3 linked regions of the Struthio camelus genome follow. The protein of the gene in region 3 purifies or fractionates together with the protein of the main gene of each other region. This does not show direct contact. Links are inferred from orthologs where the notes say so. Each region holds a gene or a part of one and is shown on either strand. Other genes may lie near its edges. The genes, in order: TJP2, ASAP1 and ARHGAP12.

The links.
Region 1: the proteins of ARHGAP12 (region 3) and TJP2 purify together in Homo sapiens (co-immunoprecipitation; 3 studies listed by BioGRID and IntAct, with this or other methods). This does not show direct contact. The link is inferred for Struthio camelus from reciprocal best matches to the Homo sapiens genes ARHGAP12 and TJP2.
Region 2: the proteins of ARHGAP12 (region 3) and ASAP1 purify together in Homo sapiens (co-immunoprecipitation; 3 studies listed by BioGRID and IntAct, with this or other methods). This does not show direct contact. The link is inferred for Struthio camelus from reciprocal best matches to the Homo sapiens genes ARHGAP12 and ASAP1.

What each region holds. Positions count from the first base shown.
Region 1 is NC_090982.1:25,650,022-25,657,718, forward strand, and holds the start of TJP2 (tight junction protein ZO-2), read left to right. Parts: upstream 1-4,646; coding exon 4,647-4,759; intron 4,760-7,697. UniProt on the Homo sapiens protein: Plays a role in tight junctions and adherens junctions. Acts as a positive regulator of RANKL-induced osteoclast differentiation, potentially via mediating downstream transcriptional activity.
Region 2 is NC_090943.1:163,101,594-163,109,097, reverse strand, and holds the start of ASAP1 (arf-GAP with SH3 domain, ANK repeat and PH domain-containing protein 1), read left to right. Parts: upstream 1-4,495; 5' UTR 4,496-5,176; intron 5,177-7,504. UniProt on the Homo sapiens protein: Possesses phosphatidylinositol 4,5-bisphosphate-dependent GTPase-activating protein activity for ARF1 (ADP ribosylation factor 1) and ARF5 and a lesser activity towards ARF6.
Region 3 is NC_090943.1:17,148,923-17,156,025, forward strand, and holds the start of ARHGAP12 (rho GTPase-activating protein 12), read left to right. Parts: upstream 1-4,042; 5' UTR 4,043-4,177; exon of another isoform or gene 4,178-4,181; intron 4,182-7,103. UniProt on the Homo sapiens protein: GTPase activator for the Rho-type GTPases by converting them to an inactive GDP-bound state.

The sequences.
Region 1 (7,697 bases), on a different chromosome or scaffold from region 3:
AGTTTCGAGGTTCTCGTCTGCTCTTTCCATGTTACCCTTCTCCCACAAAAAAATTGATCCTTGATGCTCCTTTGCCTCAAAATTATTTTGACAGATCAAGCTTAACATGTGCGTTTCTTAGCTATATGGCGCAAACAAGAAAACACATATGCCCTCTAAGTAACGCTGGAAGTTAACTTTATCTGTCATGGTTATTCTTGTCATCCAAGAGTAAGAATGCAGGAAAATCCTTTTGTTTCTTTTTTCTCCTCACGATAGAATTCTTTAACCTGTAGGTGTTACAGACTTTTTTTGTTGAGAGAGAAGAAAGAAGAGAATTTTGTTTCCTAAGATGGAAAGTAATTTGTGGCTATGCTTGGCAATGGCTGTTTCCTTTGCAGTTGGATCTGAAGTGACTGAAGATGGAATCATGCATCTGTCATCAGCTTTTACATGAAATATGCTCTAAATCTAATAACTCTTTCTTTTCATGTATTGAGCAAAAGAAAACTTTCACTTTGATCTCATAAATGTTTCTTTCATGCAGAAAAGAACATTTGTCATTCTTTCCCCTTTCCCTGAATTACTTCTCACTTGCCAAACCATCTACTGCAACAGTCTAGAATTTGTATAGAATGAATGAGAATAATATAATTTCTGAACTGCTTTTGCAAATATCACTTATAGAATTTTATTTGCATTGAAATCATTGTCACAAGACTGATTTTTTTTTCTCTCTCTTTCAGCTAAGAAAGCACAGAATAGAGTAAGAGACTTTGAAACAGACGTAAAAAAAGCTTTCAGTTCTCACAGGGTTCTCTTTCCCTACAGCCAGCGTACCTTCCAAGTCTTTTGATATATTGCCACAATGCATTATATCAATTTGATAGAAATACATGTTACCTCATTTTCTTTATTTTGAAAACTGAGAAGTAATCAACATGGCAGACTTGTAAGGAGAAGCTGAGCAGAGAACACAAGTATGGTGAAAAAGCAAAGATTTCTTTTTGCTAAAATTCAGGCTGTCCATTGCTGTTCTCTTCATGAGCATGGTTGAGGACCACAAGTTCCCGAAGCTGACACAAGTGTTTTTCTTTAACAGATTAATTATTAGATTATGTTTGTTCACTTGTATGTTCCCAGTTGATCTGTGCTCTTTCCATTAAAACTTGGTGTTCTTTCTGCCTGAAAAACACAAAGTTAGAAGGGGAGTGGATGATATTCCTCAACAGGAAACAATGAACGTAGATGTATTTTAGACCCTTTGTTACTGAGGGATAGTTTTTTCAGGGCAAACAATGGATGTACTAATAGCTTTGAGTTTCTGTTTTCAAACAAAGTTGAAGGAAATTGATAACTTGTGAGTCAGTCTTACTCCCTCTGCATATCTAAGATTCATGAACAAGCTAGCTAAGAGGAGTGCTTGGGAGTGACTTATGCTTACTGTATGAGTTTGTTTGTGAGCTCTCTGTGTACAAGGCTGGTCACGGGGCTCCTATTCTAGTCAGAGTTATTTGGCTTTACTCAAGCAAATAACAGATTAATTAGAGCTACACTAAACAATTTTTTCACTTTTTTCAGAATCATAGTTCTAAGCATGCTATTGGGAAGTGTTTGTAAGGAAGAATCTGTTCCTCATATCTCTAAGGGAAAAATGTAAGGTTAAAAAAGGTGAAGGGGTGGTGATGGTGGAAAGAAGTGCCAAAACGTATGAGAAATTGTGATAACATTGAAAACAAAACTAACTTAAAAGGCAGATTGGATTTCATCAAAATGTTTCTCTGATTAAGCAGGACTGACTATTATCATGAATTACTACATTCAGAAGGTGTTTAAAAACTGAAATAGTCAACAAACTGCTAGTCAATACTGCCTGCACAATAGGGCTGCTAACGCTCTCAAAAGTCAGGATGCATGCAGGCCTGATGACATTAGCTGTGCTTACAGACTGCTACTAGTATTTCACTTTCCCAAGGTTCTTACTACTTTGTATGCAGATGTTTGAAATTGTAGTATTGTAGCTTTTTTTTTTTCCTTGGTCTTGCGAAAGTAATACTTAGCTTCACTTTATTTCTATGTTTTTAATACATTAGCTGCTTTCCTGAAGGGTTTTGACACTGTCTCCCATCACATGCTCGTAGGTAAACTCAGGAAGTGTGGGCTGGATGAGTGGACGGTGAGGTGGGTTGAGAACTGGCTGGACGGCAGAGCTCGGAGGGCTGTGGTCAGCGGTGGAGAGTCCAGTGGGAGGCCTGTAGCTCGCGGTGTCCCCCAGGGGTCAGTGCTGGGCCCAGTCTTGTTCAATGCATTCATCGGTGACCTGGAGGAAGGCACAGAGTGCACCCTCAGCAAGTTGGCTGATGACACTAAACTGGGAGGAGTGGCTGACACACCAGGGGGCTGTGCTGCCATTCCGAGGGACGTGGACAGGCTGGAGAGCTGGGAGGAGAGGAGCCTCATGGAGTTCAGCATAGGCAAGGGCAGGGTCCTGCACCTTGGCAGCAATAACCCCATGCCCCAGGACAGGCTGGGGGTTGACCTGCTGGAGAGCAGCTCTGCAGAGAAGGACCTGGGAGTGCTGGTGGACAGCAAGCTGGGCATGAGGCAGCAATGTGCCCGTGTGGTCAAGAAGGCCAATGGGATCCTGGGGTGCGTTAGGGAGAGCATTGCCAGCAGGTGGAGGGAGGTGATCCTGCCCCTCTCCTCAGCCCTGGTGAGGCCTCACCTGGAGTGCTGTGTCCAATTCTGGGCTGCCCAGTACAAGAGAGACATGGCACTCCTGGAGAGAGTCCAGCGGAGGGCCACTAAGATGATGAGGGGACTGGAGCATCATCTCTCCTGTGAGGAAAGGCAGAGAGAGCTGGGGCTGTTCAGCCTGGAGAAGAGAAGACTGAGAGGCGATCTCATCAACGTGTACAAGTATCTGAAGGGAGGGTGAAAGCCATACTCTTTTCAGTGGTGCCCAGCAACAGGACAAGAGGCAATGGGCACAAACTGAACCACAGGCAGTTCCGTCTGAACATGAGGCAAAACTTCTTTGCTGTGAGGGTGACGGAGCACTGGCACAGGTTGCCCAGAGAGGTGGTGGAGTCTCCTTCGCTGGAGATATTCAAAACCAGCCTGGATATCTTGTGCACTGTGCTCTAGAGGACCCTGCTTGAGCAGGGGGGTTGGACTAGGTGATCTCCAGAGGTCCCTTGCAACCTTGGCCATTCTGTGACTCTGTGATTTCCTAATACATCTCAAATTTCCAGATTACGTATTCCTTACATATCTATGTACAACTAGATAGGTATAAACTGCAGATTTCCTTTTGTCAGTTATTTGTCGTTTTATTTCTTGAATCTGTAAACTGCTTAATTTTATATTGCTATTTTAAAGTCAGTTGAGCAGATTTAATAATTCACTTGAGATGGTTCAGTGTGTGCATATTTTGTGTAAGTGAACTTAAGTTACAATGTAACTTAATATATTGAGTGCCAGGTAGGGCGTAAGTAATACAGAAGAGTGAATAATACAGGGACTGGAAATAACTGTACAAGAATTCATTGTGTAGGGCTGAATATTTTACAGTATAAGTTTAGAAGTTGTAGTTTCCATCTTAAAGGTTTCAAAATATGTAACATTCTATACAAAGTCACCTCAGCAGAAATATAGGCATTTTACTACTAGAGAATAGTTAAAATACGCAGTTTGCAGAGGGGTTTTTGGCCAGGTCTTTAGGATAAATGCTTCCCGTCCCGTCTGTTCTTTTTGCATGTTTATATAAAATAACCTATACAACAATAGAAATAGTATATATAAAATTATATATAAACTTTCATAGTTAGTATCTTACTATCTATGTAGCATTACAACATTTCCTTTGTTAATCTTTTTTGCAGTCAAGCAAGTCTCTCTTAATACTGTAGTTTGGCAGTGCTGCAGCATATCTAAAATGCCACTATTACTTCAACTTGTACATCTGTCTCCACGCTTGTAGTTAGTACCTGAGGTCATTGGCATGCACAATTACTTACGTCATGGCTGGAACAGTTTTGACACGGAAAGTGGCTTCTGGCGTTGTGTGAGGCACATTTGTATGACTAGTAGGTATCATAATGAAGTCTTTATCTTGCTTAATTCTGTGTAAGTGAAGTAAGGGAATGTTTCTCCATGCCTCTCCTGCTCAGATCACAGATAAATCCTGGTGCTACGGAGAAAAGTTGAAGCAAAAGCCATTATTACCTTTCAGAGTATGTAAAAAAAAATTCTCAACTTTTCTGTGCAGATCTCATTCCCTCAGTTGATCTGAGAGAGAAGTTACCTAGCGCTCCATTAGTACTTGAAAGATTATAAACATCAGAGATTTAGCCAAGGATTAGTAAATTGGAGAGTGTGCATTATCCGGCCAGGCTTAGAACCGTGATTGTCTCTTCAATCATTTTCATTAGTGTCTTACTCAAAGATCAAATTATGTAACAATGACGTTTCAGGGGAATCTGGCAGGAGTTTTTCTTTGGTTTCTCTCCCAGACTAACTCTCCATGCCTAGTAGAGGGGGGGAAGGCATTATTTTTATGCTTGAAACCTGCAGTATGTTTTGAAAAGCAACCGTTCAGACAAGTGCAGAAGCATGACTGCGTTTGGATGACAACTTAGCGTGGTGGAACTCTTGAGAGAGGCAGGATGCGGTACAAGAAATATATAACTATCTTAGAAGCAGCAATAGGCATAACTCCCCTTAACAAAAGGGAACTGCTTCCTGAAGGTAGACATGCAAACCTTTGGCAACATCCCAGGTAAGTGTTACAAACGAGATAAATGAGTAACTGTGGGAAAACCTGTGTTAACCTTGAAGAATACAATTTGAACGCTTCTATGAGAAAAGGAAAGAGTCATTCATAAAAACAAGTAATCTTTTGTCTGCCTTCCAAGCAGTGTATCTTCTGCAGTTGCAGTTAAACTCTGTGGTTTCATTAGAGATTTCTGTGCATTTACTGTCCTTGGCTACCAGGACAATTAGAAAGAGGCATAATTTCTAAATTAAAAGTTTGCTCAAAGAGTAGAAAGGATAAACAGGAGCATACTTATTGCAATGAAAACGAGATAGTCATTTTGTATTAATGCTTACTCCTGCTGCATGTGTATGTGTGGGTTCCCCCCCTCCTTGTTAGAATGTGCATATTTTAATTATTATCTATGGGAGAACTAGCAGCTTCTAAAAGCAGAAAAAAAAACCCACTTTTTTGCTTGTATCCCACTTTCTTTTTCTAATAGAAAGCAAAATTTCCTCATATTTAGGAGTACTGTTTTCATAAAGGAAATATGCAGCAATTAATAGAGAAAACAATTAGGATTTTTAAGCGTTCAGACTATGAAATTGGGAGCATTCTGTTCTGGTTAAAAACAATTCAGAGTGCTTTCTTGTACCCCCTAACTTGAATGTTGGACTTCAGAAAATTCGTTCGTTCGTAACTCAGTTTCCCTCTAAAAGTGATCGTCTTAAAAACTCCTGTGCTCATAGAGTGTGTATGTGAGAAGAGGGATTGTCCTTCTTTCCCATCTGCTCATTCTATGTAAGTAGCGTCAGTGGGTGCATATCCTCATAGCCTTTCTAGTCTCTCCTGTTCTTGTTTTGCATTAGAATGTTGTACTGTTGTTTAAGACATGGCAGAGGAACATAAAATCTGAGAAACTTGTTGAAGACTAATGGTTAGATAAGTTTGTACTGGTTGTGATTAGTTTTGTGTGAGAAAATTTTCAAAGAAAATCTTGGAGTAAAAATGCTATCACCTGAACTCTAATTTTGCTCATGATTTTTCTGCAAGAACCCCTCTGCTAATAGTGGTATCAACAGTAATACCAATTCAAATAAAGCACCCATATGATTTTTAGTTGCTTCACCTAAATGACAAAATACTGGATGCTAAGATTTTCCACCCTCTTCATTGACACAAAAATTCTTCAAGTTGATCCTAGTGTGCTGGTATTGCACTGAGGAGTGCTTTTTGGCTTTTTTGTTAAAATGTGCTCATTTGAAGGCATCCTTAGTACAATGCATTGTAGACACTTCTTTCCCATGTTCTCTTGACTCTGACTTCCTCTGATTGTTTAATGTGAGTTATCTGCATGCCAATCTCTCTGAATCTTGCAGCCGTTCTTTACATGTTGATAAAAAGTTACATGATGGCTCTTGATCCTTGGAGGAACGGTGTTAGAATGTAATGACACATTCTTACAAAATTTCTCTTTGTGCTTCAAGTAGATTTGTTTGGCTAGAGGAGCAACTTGAAACAAACCATTTAAAAATGAAACTTATTAACTTTAGCATCCCTTCTTTTTTGCTTTACTACTTAAATGTCTGAATGATAAGCTTTCATCTACGAGTGAGTGTTAGTCAATACCCAAATGCAAAACATACTGCCTTGTTAATACTTGTTTTTCTTTCCAGTGTTATTAATCAGGCGTCTCCCTTCTTTCATAGAGGGGTTTCGAGTGATGTAATTGTTGTACACACTTGGAATTTTAACTTCTTAAAATGTATTTGAATTACAGAATTGCCATTCTGACAATTCAACAGAAGTAGAAAAGCTTTTGTCATTGGACTTCATTAGGGACCCCTTATATCCTTTTATTAGATCTTTCCGAGCACTAAGGGTTGGGAGCTAACAATTGCCATGAAGTGAACCATGGTTTGAAGAAAAGAGCGCTGTTCTGTTTGCAGCTGCGGACTGTGATCTGTGCAATTGGAATAAGCAAATTTATAACTCACTTGGCTAATATCTGCTTGTCACTCAGCCTCTGGTGGTACTCTATCAGGTTCATATAAAAAAGAATCCAATCAAATTGAATAACATTTTTAAACTAGCTATTTTTTCCCCCAATTTCCATCATGGCGCATTTTCTAAAAGCTAGTACAGAATGTAAAGTGTATCTGGCTCCTCCTCACTGCACAAATTCAAATGCATGCTTAAGTTAAATTCTTCCTATGCTTCTCTCAACCATCTCATAGAATGAAAGAAAATCAGCATTAAAGTGGGATGTCAACTCCCGTGCCATCACTTGAGAGGTGTGAAAATACTGACAGTAACCCAGACTAAGGTGTGAGAGAGGGCAAGGAAGAAAAGCGTGTTATTTTGCTAAGGTGTTCATTTTCGTTTCCGTAGGAAAGTCATTATAAAGCATATTTTTCCATTTCACTTGGAATAATTACGCGATTTCTGTGGCAGATGGATTCTTTGAAACTGTTCGCATCTTCACAGGGAATCAAAATGATGACAGCAATGGTATTTTGGTTTTAGCTTTCTTGTATAACTTTCCTGCTGTTTTCTGGAAAAGACACTATTACTCTGCACACAACCTGGAACAATGAAGTCGATGTTTGCTCATAATGCATAGCTTTTGCTGCTCTTTGAAGACGGTGGAAATTCATGCTTAAGTTTCTGTCTGTTTGAACTAGTAGAGCCTTACTTTTGGAAAGATGCATTTGTGGAGGAAGGAGTCAGCAGAGAATGAAAATGAACATCTTTTGTCTTCTCAAAGTGATTGGCAGGAGCTGCCTGCATTTGTGAGGCTTAAGAAGTTCATCCGAGACCAAATGATTTTTTGTAATGCCTTAGACCTTTTAAACTTCCTTTTCTCAATCTCGGACTTCATTATGGACGTACTCAGGGAAAAGTGGGTGCCACACGTGAGGCACGTCTATAAAATGGAGTGTAGACTTGTAGATTGAACAAG
Region 2 (7,504 bases), about 150 Mb from region 3:
TTTGAGCTTAGGACAGCACAGGAAGAACTCGAGCAATTGGAAGAGCTGGTGAGCAAGAGGGAATTTCTCTCTGCAGTTTTGTGAAGTGTGGCCAGATAGCCAGGGGTGGACATGTGACATGCACATGGAGCGAAAACAATCCATCACTTCTTGCCTCAGCCATAATTTTCATCAGGCAAAATAACTTTCACCAAATAAAATAACTGTTGATGCTGTTCTGTGTAACCAGGACCCGGAAAAGGTAGCACTCAGAAGCCACATCTGACACCAGGTGGTGCCTGAGATAAGCAAAATGCTGGTAGAAGACTTTCCCTCATCTGCCTTAGGAATCTTACAACCCTACTGCAGTTCTTCCTGGCAACAGCAAAATTCAAAATAAACCAGGCTGAACATGAGGAAAAGTTCTCCAAGACTGAGCAATGTGTGTTATAGTTACATTCAACATCTGCCAGCTTCCTCACCTGGCTACCGCAGCGCGTTTTGCTGTGAGAGCGTCAGAAGCGTGGGTTACCTCTACCCAGGACTGCTCTGCCGGGGAAGTGGTTCTGACCTGATAGCTATACTAGCAAAAGTATATTTTATGTTGGTATTACAAAACCACTCCCTTAAGGAAAACAGCCTTTACCCTTACAGACCAAGCAACAGATAACCCAGATAATGGTATGTATAACAGGGGCCAGCAGAGCAATGGTGATCAAGGCCAGACCATCCACACTCTGCCCTGACGTGACAACGCAAGCAGAAGGGCATAACGGAGATAGAGTTTAACCTGGATATGCTTGGCCAGAGCAACACTCCAGTGAAATCACCTTTAATGTGCCATGAAAGAAAAACCAGATGAAAGCTGTGCTTTCTGAAGTCCTGCTGAGAGATGGATATGAGTATCTATTCTCCCTGCAAGTAGAGGTTCAGCCTGTCTCTTCCTCTCCCCTCTTTGTGGGTCACTACTTGATTTCATTGCTTGAAACAAAGTCTAGGACAATACCTGGGCCAACATGTTCCATAAAGATGGGGCCTGCTACCTTAAATGCTCTGTTCAGCAGCCTGGGACATTATCAGACAACTTGGAGGCCTGGACTTCAGAATCTAAACGTTACATTTTTAAAGAAACTAAGTACCTAGCCCAGGTGGTTGAGTAAAATCATTTCACATGTGAACTTCTCTCATTGGACTGTGTCCTATATTCAGAAGGGATATTTTCTCCTCCTCTAATCTCACTGCAATCAAATCTTAAGTTGCATTTGGCCCCTTATGTATGAAATCTAACATAAATATCAGTTCTGTTAATTCTTTCTGTGTGATCCAACATCTTACAAACCTCTTAAAAATATTATTTTTATGGGCACATTTCACATCACCCAATTGCTTCTCATACTTCAAATCCCAGTCATCTGTGCAGCTCCCCCATATCTGAATTTCCCCTCCGTCTGTGATGCTGCCATGAGCCTGCAGTACAAAATACTTCACTCAACAGAAGTGAAAAACAAAATATTTAGGGCAGCTTAGAATAAATCAAACTGAAGTAAGACTTCCTTTGTCAGTCACAAGCTTTTTTAAATTTAATTCTACGAGGGGAAAAAAACACAACTCTCAGTGTTTAAGATTTTGCTCAGTCTGTGATCTGCCGCTTAGGCAAGATAGATAATGCAGGTGTTTTGATGGCAAATTTAGGTCAAGTTTCTCTGTGACATGGGCAAGGCCTTGTATGTTATGTAGCATTATAAATGTCTGTGATACTTCCAGGCGCTGTGCTAAGGAGAAGATCCAAATGCACAGCTATTTTTGCTGAAGTACCACACCAGGCCCTGCTACTGGCTGGAGGAGAGCGTCTATAGACCTTCAATTTGCCTCTCTCCCCTCCCCACCCCAGGAAAGTCAGCTGCTGTGAACAGTGGCGAGGTGCCCTCTGGAAAAAGCTAATTTGCATCTAGCAGAGAGCAATAGAAAATGAAGGAGGCTTTCAGTAGTTCTGTGTTTTGGTTTCGTATGTCACCTGTTTAATCCAAAATGTAAGTGCAGCTAGTAAAGTACCACAGAGCTGCAGCGAGATGAAAACCAGCTTTTTCAAAATGAGTCCAGATATGTCAGACAGGGCATAAACCAGACAGTGCTGCTTCCTCTGTTGAAGGCATCTGCCTTTCACCTGATGCAGAGGCATGAGGCCTTCCAGGGTGCAAGCTCGTCCTGCACAGCCACAGAGCAGCAGTGAGAAGAGAGCTCTGCCCTCTTCTGCCAAACAAGAAACTGCTCCATTTCATCTCGAATGGGTAGCTGGGTGAGGATGAGAGCAGGAGACCTCCGTGGGGTCCTGGTGTTGTTTCCGTCAGGCTGCACAACCTGGCTGTGGCCCACAAGAAAACTAGGGTGCAGCGCATTAAGCCCTGAGGTTATGGAGCACTGCTCACCTGGACCAAGGGATCTGCTGATTTCCTCCCTTTGCACATATCTGTTTCCTTTCAGACCAGAGCAGGCAGAGGAATAGCTCACCACGAGCTTTCACCCTGACGTGGAGAGCAGAAGGACTGCAGGAGAAACCACAGCCACTGCTGCTGTGCAATACCAATGCAACCATGTGCATCTACTTTTCTCAGCTGTACACCACAGTCAACCACAGCCAGCCCAGCCATCAAAGCAAACTGTGCAGAAGGGACATGTCACATAGCGGCACTGATGTCAAGCGTGCAGGCAATGCAAATTCCCCAGGGAACACAAGCTAGAGGATCCTGGGTGTTGGACCATGAAGATTAAAAGAGGAGGGAGCAAACACTTGGCTGTCAGCGGCCAGGAGACTCTTTGTGTTAGGTCACAGTCTCTACCCAAATGGTCTGCTGTTTCCAACACGTTTCAGGTGACGATTCAAGGATCTGCTATTGCTTCAACAGCCTCTCCATTCATGACTCTCTGACCCACCTCTGCTGGTGATAAAACATTTCCAGTCAAAAGCTTCTTCTTGACTCCAAACCCCCTGACAGGAAAACAGAATGAGCCTGTGAGCACGATCATTCGCCAAGCATGTGGCACATGACTCACCCTCTTTACAGAGCTCTTCCCCAGAATAAGAAGAAAAAAAAAGGAAGCGCAGCTAGAAAAAAAAACCTCAGAAGCACAGCAAGAGAGCTAGCAAGCACAGAAGATGTAAAAAAGACTGTGTCTGCTATGGACATCTCTACAAATCTTCATTACACTGTTGTCACATAAGGTTAGTGGGAAGATGCCTTAGAAATACATACAACAACACGGTGTGATGTGAGCTAGTGTTTGCAAGAGGGTAGTGAATCTCTCAACATACAGGAAATTGCTTTTAATATGATAGCTGTCAGGTCACATTCTCACTGCAGACATTTTACGCACCTGCAAAAAGCATCCAGGAGAGAGGGTAAACGCGCTTCTGAGCTTCATATCAGCACAACTTACATCCTGCCCCTAGCCCAGACAGCAAAGTTAAAGTTAATCTGAATACCTCCGCAGAGCCCTGTCTTAGTGCCTACACACCGAACGTGAGCAGCAGTCACCAAGAGCCACATCTTGCCAGTAGTATCGACAGCAGATAAAAATTTGGCGCCAGATTAGTCCGGCATTTACTTGGAAATGAAGGGTGGGATTCTTGCAAAGAGACGAAGGTACCTAAAACATAGACAAGCATATCTGAGCTCATCATCGAGACTCCTCTGATGATGAAATGAGAGAAACTTGCACTTGGAGGCAGAAATTCACCCCGTCCTAAAGCAGACAGCCGATCTAGGCATGCTAGGAGGGCTCATGCCTTCTGATTGACTGTGCAGGGAGGCTATGCCACAAGCTCAGATGCAGATGTCTAACATGAGATGGGGCGATTCCCATTCCTATATGCTGGCCATATGCTGAACTACAGCTGGCCCATGAGACCGCTGACCCATGGCTCTGATGAGGCTCCAGGCTTGATGGTTCCCTGAATGAACCCCGTCATCATATTTTCATGTAAATCAAAGTCACCAATGAATTGAAGGGGAACTGAAATACGTTGCCCGATCGATTTGATTTGGTCTGATTTCATAATTTCTAAATTTTCTGGCACTTTAAGCTTTTGGCTTCTTTGTTTTATTTCTCGAAGCGTTGGGGATTCCTGCTCCTCGCTGGGGCCGGCATGGGAAACCTGTTCAAAATCCAACCTGAAAACAAACTGGATGAAAGAAGCATCAGTTGAAAGGCATAGAGGGGAAGGAAAAGCCTGTTCAGAAAAACAGCAAAATGAAATCCCCTCGGCAGCCCCGACCTTTTCACACTTATGTTTGTAAAGATAAGCTCTCTCATCAATTCTGGAGCGCTGAGCATGTGACAAAGGGCTCTTTTTATCCCACATCCAAGCTACAAATAAATGTCAGCTGCCCGGTATGGGAGGGCACAGCCCAAGGAAGGAAGTGTCCTCTGCCTCCTCCCTCTTTGAGGAGCCCTCAGCGAGCAGCCTTGCACCGACTGCTCTGTGACTGCGATCCTTTGGGAACCCCGGAGAGGGTGGACAGAAGACCTCTGTTAGCATTAGAAAAACAGAATGTGTTGCATTTATTCCAGTGAGGGAAAACTACTCGCTAGACACCTTCCCCTCGCCCCAAAAGAGCCCGACGGCTTTTCCTCTAACGCCGCTGCTGCGCGGCGCGTGCTGAAATCCCAGAGCCTCCTCCCACAGCAGCTAAGCAGACAAACCACAGGCCAGCCACTTTCTCCGTGTCTCCGTTTTCCTCTTAGCCGAGGGGATAATAAAATTACCCGGCACTCTGGAATGCTGTAGCTTTAATTCATTAGTATCTCTAAGGAGCTTAGAGGTCCTCAGCCATAAGGGGCTCTGGAAATGCCAGCGGAAATGGTGAGCCTCTTGTCGCTGGGCTTCCACTTCCAACATTTCCCTGCTGAATCCAGTGATTCCAGCGTTTTGGGTTCCGAATTCTCTGACTCGGCAAATTCGAATCAGCTTTTCAGAACGGTCTGAGGAGTAGAAATGTGCTCTTTGTCAGGGAGAGGAAACGGGGAGCAGTATTAGTCGCTCTGTATGCCGCATGAGTCAGCCACAGTTTATGCACCTGCTGTGACTTACAAATCTGAATGCACTCGGAGATGCCGGTTTTGCAAACAGATGGATTTTGTAAATCCTGTTAACGTTTCTGTGTGTAAGAGCTTCCCCGCAGAAAAGGAGCGTGTCCACGTGAGTATCGGATCCACTTACCCTTATAGATTTTAAAATAGTGGCTTCATTTTACCCAGGCTGGAGATATAAACGGATTCATCTTAGAGCGGGGAACCCGCGCTGTGTTTGTGGGAACGGTGACTTTCGGGAAATTAAAATTAAAATTAGCTGCTCTAAGCTACAGGAAAGGGAGAGAAGGAGAGGTATGTCTCTCTAATTGCACATCAGCTCTAATGGGTTCAGTTCAACCATACTCCAGCAAAATAACCAGTTTGGAGCTGACACGGGGTCTGTGTGTGTGTAACCTGCTTGCTGTAGTCTCTCTCAATCACAGGATTTTATTCCAAAAAAGTTACTGGAATGTGTTGTTCCCACAACATTTAAGCAGCTTAGGCGGAGAAAATTGCATAATGCGTTTGCTTTGTAAAGCTTCATTATTTTACATGTATTGAAATCCTTTTGCTTTGTGCGCATACAGTCCCTTTTGAATGGGACAGGGCCAGAGAAGTAAACAAGGAAGCCGAGCCGGAAAAGAAGGGGAAAAGGGGCCTAGGAACTGCTATTGTGGATACAAGAGAAATGCGGAGGGGCAGCAGAAGCATGCAAAATTGCTGAAATTCTTCCATGGCTTTGCACAGCACGAGTGCTATAGGGGCAGGGCATTAATATGCCACACACTTGGCTGTGGGAGCCATCACGTGTCATGTGCGCTGACTGCCCTGAATCAACACAAAATACACAACAAGGCAAAAACGGAGAGCGGCGAAGGCTAGCAGTCTTCAGCAGTCGCAGCACGAAGCGCTCCGTCACCCGCCTTGCTCTCTAAGCGACCTCTCTCACGGCCCGGTGCTAAACACCTAACTGCACTCGGTCAGTTTTCTTTTGGGAACACAAGGTGGGAATGGGGAAAGGACTTGCCCTTTTGTTCTCCCTCAACGGGGACGGTCACACCTGTAGGCAGAGGGAGGGAAACGCCGGCCGCCGAGGCACAGAGGTTGCAGTCTGGCCGCCACCCGGCTGCCTGCTTGCACAGGAGATTAGCGTTAGTTGCTTGAGACGCTGGTGTCGAACAGGCAGAACCCACCTCCCGCGTTCGCCTCTGTTAGAGAGGTAAAATGTCCTTGTACTTCCCAGCATTGCTATGATGGTCTGTTATTTCATGCTAGAAACCTGCTGTATACTGTAAAATCCTGACTGTCGTTATTGGAATTTATTATGTGGGCAATTAACACAGGCAATCCCATTATTGCTGTAATGAGATTCATCTGAGTAAATCTCACATGTGTTATTCTCCTAGAAAAACAAGTGACCAAACAACTCTTTGGCTTGGCCCAAGTTTCCAAAGATAAATGTATTCACTCATTTATTACTAACTACACAGCTTGTGGCCTTGTGGTATGAGTAAACAAGCTGAACAAATGTCTAGTTTGGGAAAGAATAAAATGTTAAAGCAAATAATTGATTTGGTGATCTCTTTGCAGCCAGTCAGACAGATGTTTCGTTGCCAGGCCTGCCTATATAAAATAGTAATTGTGCAATTAGTGCTTAATGACTGGAGTTCATTTCTTTTTCTTCTCAGTCGTTAAAGCCATATTGATTTGCTTAGAACATATTAATAATTTCTGAATATATAGGCAAGCAAATCAGAAACCACAGCATCCAACTCTGGCTCTATTTGTTTCCCTATGTTGACATGCGCTAGACGTTGCCAGATAAAGACACTTCCAGCAGAACAGGGCAGAGGAAAAAGAACAAGGACAAGGGGTAGCATCTGAGTTGCTACCCACTGGCTTCAGAAATAACAAATTGCAAGGTTACATCAGCCAAGGGGAAGATGGCCTGGGCCTCGCAGCTCAGAGAAGAGGCAACGCTACTTTTAAAGCTAGGGGACTGCGTCACACATAGCTGCTGCGTGCCCAGAGCAGCCGCCCTGCTTGTGGTGTGTGACCTTCAGCTCGCACCCCCAAGCACAAGTGTTAACTCCCTGAGACTTCAGCAGCAAATCCCCACTTGCGCAAGGCCCAAAACACTTCTCCAATTCGTTCTTGGCTGCTAGAGATTTGCTCTGAGAAGTGGTTTCCTGATTCACCCCCTACTGTGTGCTGCAACACTTCAGAGGGTGCTACCGGAGAGCGAGGCTACGCTTCGTGCAGCGGGCTCACCGGCTCCCTGTACAGTGCCTGCGTAACTAGGCCCTCCGACACAGCACAGCTGCATCTGTACTGTTGCTTTTGACCTCTTCCTTAGGATTTCCCGGTGCCGGGAGACTTGACCCTTCACCACCACTCCTGCTGCCACAAGTGGTGCTAGAAGTCATGCTAGCAGTACCACGGCTGAGATTTTCAA
Region 3 (7,103 bases):
CTCAACTCAAAAGTGATACATTTCAGAATATTATGCTCAAAAAGAAAAAAAGAGATACACAGTTTTACTTAACAGGTAACTAATGAGCTTCTCTTTGGCAAGAAAAGAACAGTTCCAACTCCGACCAATATAGGACCAAAACAAAGATTACTTTGTTCTTTAATAAGGCCAACAATCAGATAGTTGTACAAAACTGTTTTTCAGTCTGAAACTGAGACTGCTATATGAACAATAATTAGATCTGAGTTTCTGGAACATTTACCATTGAATGAACTCAGAAAAATATAGAAATACTGAACATCGCAGTGGCCACGTGGCAAATAAACAGTATGAAGTGAAAAAGTATGTGCCAATCATACTCCATTCTAATTCACGTGATGTAAAAAACCAATCTGCTGGAAAGGTGGAAGACTAACAAATTCCCCTCTGAATTTTCACGGTAAACCAAGCACCTTCTCTGAACTTTTGACTAACTCTTCCTCCTTAAGGCAGAGAACATTCCTTCGAATTGTAATGGTGGAACAAGTTCTTTGCTGAACTTTGGAGAAATCTAGGTTCCTTTTTTATGTTATTTGCTTTCTTTGTTCCCATTTCGCTTGATTTTCCTCACAATGTACAGTTACATAAATAAAAATGGCTCATTTCTTAGTTGAGTCAGGAGACTGGGAGTAAATTGACAAGTTCATGCAAAAAATCCACAGTATCTGCACTTTGTTAAAAAGTGCTTTTGTAGTAGTTAGAAAGAAGAGAAAGGAGGAATTGATTGTATGTATATGGGTAGGTGGTAGAACTATTTTTAGATAGAGGTTAGAAGCCTGTCAAAAAATTGAGAGTAGGAGCAGAGCAGACAGGAGATGCCCCAAGAGATGTACTTTGTATTAGGAAACTGAACCATTTTTTAAAATAAACTTTTAAGTAATATTTGAAGGTACTGTAAAATAAAAATATTTTCTCTTTGTATCAGAATTGTTTGCTTAATTAAGTGCAATTCTTTCTCTAAATTCAGAATGATTTCTCTATTGCCTATCACTACCTAGGTTATAACATAAAACGCAGAGAAAAAGTCCTTGAACAAAAGGAAAGAAAAACTAAGGAGAAAGCAAAATGAGTAAGGTGGATACTTGCAGTGTCTGTCTGCTAGATGCGAGAAAGCTTTTGGTGTTTGCGTTTCTGAAAGAAAGAATCAATACAGTTCATAATAAGATTAGTCTGTTTGGCAAGGGGGGGAAGGGAGTTAAAGAATGAATTAACAACCCAGACTTAACAATGATCACGTTTTAGGCAGCACATTTCTATTACTTACCTAACATCAGTCCTGGCATTATGAATAACAGGATGGCAATGCATCTTAGGCATGCATTTGAAATGAATCAGAGCGTCACACTCATTTAGAATTACTGCAGCCAAGCTATACACTAATGGACAGCTGAACTTGCAGAGATTTGAATTAGGGGACTCACAGGCAGGAAAAATGGCAAAAAAGTAAAATGGAATTTTGCCCTTCCAATTTAATGGACTCAGGTTTTTTATAAATGTGAACCTGATATTTCAAAATTGTGACTCTAAGGCGAATAACTATCCTTTCTATGTCTAATTCAAATGCCATAACTTCAATTTTCCAAGACAAGATTTTCACAATTGTGAAATTTGTTTCCAGTGGATTTGTGTTTCGTGAAAGATTGCAAGTATTGGGTCAACTTTTTCTCCATGATTGGTGTCACTTTCTTATGTGGCTTCTCTTGCACTCCTCTGTAGCTGCCTGTTTTCCGAAAACTTGTAGGATCTGGATTATCTTTGAGGACAAATCCCATTCGGTAAACACAGCTGAATTTGGACAATGGTTTTGAAAGATATGGGGCAACAGGACAGAGAGACTCGAATCAAACATCGACTTTTCATATGGAATCAGTCTGCAAAGATAAGAGAGTCACATTCAGCATGTGAGTTATGATACAGAAACATTCAGAACGCAATTAGATACAAGAATTAGAGACTCCTGTAGTTTCTCCCATGGCTCACTTCCACTATGTACAGCAGTTATATTTAATGATTCTTTTGATCTGAAATTCATGATCTGAAATTCTGAAATTCATTTTTTTGACTAATGTATGTATATAGTCCTGTCTGAGGTGTCAGTATGATAGCCATCCTATGCTAGCACATCTCCAGGAAAAATAAATCATGATGAATAAACGTTCTCAACTCTCTTTTTAGTCCAGTGAAATTATAGAGCTATTTTTCACAGGCAGAATGTGTAAAAGATGGTAAAGGTGGAACTAGTGCTGGACAGTTTATTTGTAATATGGTAGTATGGAATATTTCATGACTGTACTTGGGCAGAGACTCAAAATTACATATCTCCTGGCACTTTCAGCTCTATTATGCATGTCAACAGTATGCAGGACCATCAGTTCAACACTGACTCAGAGGGAAGAGTGCCTCATACTGAATCACTAATGCCATATCCTGCAGCAGTCTAGTGAAGCCTTAGGAGTAAGGAAGGATAACGACAATGTGGCTACTGTGCCTGATTTTTGAGATGCTTTTATGTATACCTCAGGCGTATCGATAGATAAATTGCAGTGAGCTCAATTAGAAATACCCAAGGCTTTTACGTACATTATTTTCTCCTGCAGAACTGGGTATGCAAGCAGAATGTTATTAGACAAAAGCATGAACTGAACACTGTCTTCAGTTACTCTGTATCTTATAAATATATATATATATATATTCACAAAAGAAAAGCATGAATGCCAAACAACACTTTATTTTTAAGGGTTTATTTTGCCTTTTAATGATATAAATGAACAACTGTACAAAAGATGATGTTTCCCTTGCATTAGAAACCCCAGCCTCTGCTCCGCTTTTCCCGACTCTGCGGATAACTGTGGAAGGAGCAGGTCTGATGGCGGCCCACCTGATCAGCCTCATGCCGTCGACAGTTTGCAGCGTTTTAACAATGACGTTCTGTGGGCAGAGAGTGAGCCCGAAGCCAAGTTACCCTGGGTGCCCAGGGGACGTTTCCGTAAGTATTTAGGCTACAATACACAGAAGTAAAGCTTTAAGGTGTTGCACTGTTCACGATTTGTCTGGTGCGCTGTCACAGGTCACCTGAGGGCCGGCACCGAGGACACAGCGACGCTGGAAGTATCGCTCCGTACGAAAACGCGTCCGCAGGTTCGGTTACACCTATTTACGCCGTTGTCTCTGCTCCCCTTTTGCTCCGAGGCCGTCTCCGTGCCTCCCTCTCCCTTGTCCGCACCCCTCAAGCCTCTTCCCGTGGCTTTTCCCTCCCCTCAGCAAGCCGCTCCTGAGGGCTTCACCGCGCCCCCTTCCTTAGTGCACGCGCTACAGCCACCAGCCACGGAAGGCGGTCGGGCCGGACCGGGCCGGACCGGACCGGACCGGGCCGGACCGAGCAGGACGGGCGGGCGGCGCGCCGCAGGCCCGCGGTGTGGGGGCGCCTGCGGACAGCGCCCCTCCGGCCCCGGTCAGCCCACGCTTCCAAGGCCGTCTTCGCACCCATGAGGAGGAAATACTGGTTTTAAAGGGAAAGATAAGATCCCTTACAAGTTGAATAAGCTACGAAGGTCACACGAGTGTTTCCAGGCTGGATGTCTGACATCTTTGACTCATGTAATTAGAGACACCAAGCAAGACGACGCCGAATAGCGGAGTACGGCTATTCTTATTTCTTTTCGGTCAGGTTATTTAAAGGGCGGAGACTTTGTTTTCCATCCGTTCCTTCTATGACATACGGAAAGGGATAGCTATTTCCCTCCGCAGCAGTAAAAGCCTGAACGGCTTTCGGGGGCGGTGTTAACGCCGGGGGCACGCAGCCTGCAGCACCCGGCACCCGCCCCGGTACCGCTACCCGCACCCGCACCCGCACCGACTGCCCGCCGCCCGCAGCGCCCGCCCCTGCCCTTGGCGCAGCCGCGCAGGCGTCCTGCCCCCCCGCCGCGCCGGTCCTAGCGCCCGCCGCCTCCCGCGCCTCCCTCCCGACACACCCCCGCCTGGCCCCGCCCCGCCCCCGGCACGTGACGCGAGAGCGGTGACGCCGCCGTGCCCTGGAGGTGACACTCCGGCGGGGCGGGCGGAGGGGCCGCGAGGGAGCCGCCGCCACCACCATCATCATCACGGCCGGAGCGGGCAGCGGGCCTGGCGCGGCGCCGAGGCAGGTGAGGGGGGCGCGGGGGGCCGCCCGCAGCGGCGGCGCCGGAGGAGGAGGGGGTCGGAGGAGCGTGGGCCGCCCCGGGGGCAGCCGGGCCGGGCTGGGTGGCCCTGAGGCGGTCGGAGGGCACGTCGGCGCCCGCGGGCACGGCGCTGCGGCCCGCCCTCGGCCGGCTCTGGCTCCGTGAGGCGCTGCCCCGGGCGGGGAGCCGGCGGCGCTCCCCGGTTCTCCCCCCTTCCCCTCCTCCCTCAGTCGCCGCCCTGCCGGGGCCCCCCGCCGCGGGCAGCGCCCCCCGCGCGGGGCAGCCGCGGTGCCGCCGCGGGGGTGGCCGCGGCGCGGCTCTGTGCCGCCGCGGGCAGCGCGGAGCGGCCGCCGGCCGGAGGGCGGCTCCGCACCTGGGCGCCGCGGGCTCGGCGGGCCTCGCGCGGCCGCGGCACCTGCCGGCGCGCGGAGCGGCGCGGAGCGGCGCGGCGCGGCGGCGAACAAAGGGCTCCGCGGCCCGGCGGCGGCGGCGGCCCCCGCGCCCCGCTGATTGCGCCTCTCGGTGCCCTTTAAGTAAGGCGGAGGCGGCGGCGCGGGGCGCGGGCACGGGCGTGCGGAGCTGTTTGGGGCTGCTCGGGCGAGTCAACAACTTAACCTGAGCGCGCAGCGCGGAGGAGCGAGTGGCGGCCGGCGATGCTCTGTAAGCTGGTTAAGGTGCCGAGAGCTGTAACGTGGCTTTAAGAGCTGCCCTGACAGTTGTTTAAAATACATCACTTATTCAGTGCTCTGAGTCAGTAGGTAATTATTAAATGGTTACTTATTATGCCTTTAATTCTTAAGGAAGTCGGAGCTCTGGGAATCTAGTGTTTGGAATAGTACTTGATCTCTGTAGTGCTTTTTTCCTGAGGAAAGGGTGCAGGATTCAGCTTGTTTTCTAGGATTTGTGAGTTGCCTGCGTTTTGTTTATATTCGTTGTTTGCGTTTGCCTTTTTGCTATATTTTTTAAATGATGTTTGCTTACAAATGGTTGCTGTAAAATCTTAAGTTGATGTCTCCTATGCAATTTCAGTGTATGGAGAATTTGGCTTTGCGATACTCTGACAAGAGAGTGGGTTTCTGCATATGTTAGATGAGTGTTACAAGTGCTACTCCCAGTTTCCGTACTTAAAAGCCTACACTTCGCAGATGTTTTTCACAGGCGCTAGTTCGGTGAGGGTTGGTTGTCACTGTTGAATCTGACTGAATTGAAAATTTGGCTGAAAAGTTAGTTATGCTAGATAAGGAATGGTGCCCCTTTGGAAGAAAGGCATAAATAGGGTCGAATTCTGACTGAAAGCCAAGATTATTGTGGGACCGGTCTCCCAAGAAATGGCCGTGCACTGTATCTCCTTGAACTACTGAGAAAACTGACTGCGGAGGACAAAATAATGAATCTAGTCAGCAGCAGCCAATGTGTTTTATCTGGCCTGAATTGATAAGAATTCATCCTAATTTAGCTTCAGTAATTGAATTTCTTTCTGTGTCAGCATCATGGAAGGGTTCGTTACTGAAATGGGTGAAGTTTGATGCTGAAAATGGAAAAAGGATTACACAATCAACTGTCAACTGCTGCTGCTTTGTAGGACATCACTAACAAGGGCACAGGCAAAATTTTAAGGAAATCTTTTGAAATCCTCAATTTTTTTTCTGTAACCTATCGTTTGTTTGTACTGTGAAGCAAACAAAAATTCCGTAGCCATGGTGATTAAGGTTTTTCTGAGAGGGAAATAAAAGAACTGGAAAAAGACTTCCTGACATATTGCAAAGTTTTAATTTGGTTCTAAAAGATTAAAAAAATATTCTGTGTATGATAACTTCAAAAAAAAGGTATGAAACATCTGTTGTGTACGTGCTGTGTTTGGTTTGTTTGTTTTGTGTTTTGGTCTGAGTTCTAGCTGAATGCTGAAGTTAGGCATGACTAAAATATTTATATAGGTGTATACGTGTTAGGGCCATGGTTCAAGACCGTTCGGATGGACTTTAAGAGCAATTTAGTGAGTATTTTCCTGCAGTTAAAATTAAATTGATTTTACTACTTTAAATAGGTAAATATGTTGCTATAGGGTTACGTGGACTAGAAAAGGCCTACTTCTAAACAAGCATAAAGATATCTTAAACCAAACCAGTCTAATAACGTTTGGAGATGTCATTGCAGTAATTTAGACTTGATTAGAAAAGATCCTAGCTTATTTAGAAATATGTAGAATCTTGCTAGTGTCAAGCGCTACCATGCAAAATCTAACTTTACCTTTACTCCCCCTTTGAGAAAAGCATATAATTCCCCCAGCAAGAGCAGGGAGGGTATGCTCCCAGGAAGGTGTGGGGTTGTGTTGCACTGCTCTCAGGGTGCAGGCCCCGCTGTGATGAACTGGGCAGCCGGAGGGCAAGGGAGCAGCAGCACCCTCCAGGTAGGGCTGGAGAAGGGAAGGGAGGAGCCGACCTCTGTAAATACCAAGCATTGCCAGTTTTACTCAGTCTTAGCTGAGTAAGAGTTGGGAACGGTTCCCATCGGAAATTGGAGCCTGAAGAAATCTATGCCTGGATACCTAGTGAAAGATCTTTCAGCGGTCTGTTTCTTCAGTGTAGGGAGTACAGTTCGGTGCTGGCTTTGCAGTTGTTTCTTAGATGATGAGCAGCCAATGCTGTGTATATAGTCACAAGTGAGCTTTCTCTCTGAGACAGCATGAATGCTTTGTAAAATGGTGGAATGTATTTCTGTGTAGGGGTGTAGTCCACCTTAAATTAGTTACCTGTGGCATTGAGGCTTTACTTTATCAAAAGAAAAGTGTGGCTTGAGTCTAATTTTTGGTGTTCATGGTAAGTTTTCTTATGTCTTTGTTAGTGGGTCTGTTCATAATGATTAATCTCTTAATCAGGTTAAGAGAATTCAGAGACTTTATTTAAGGTG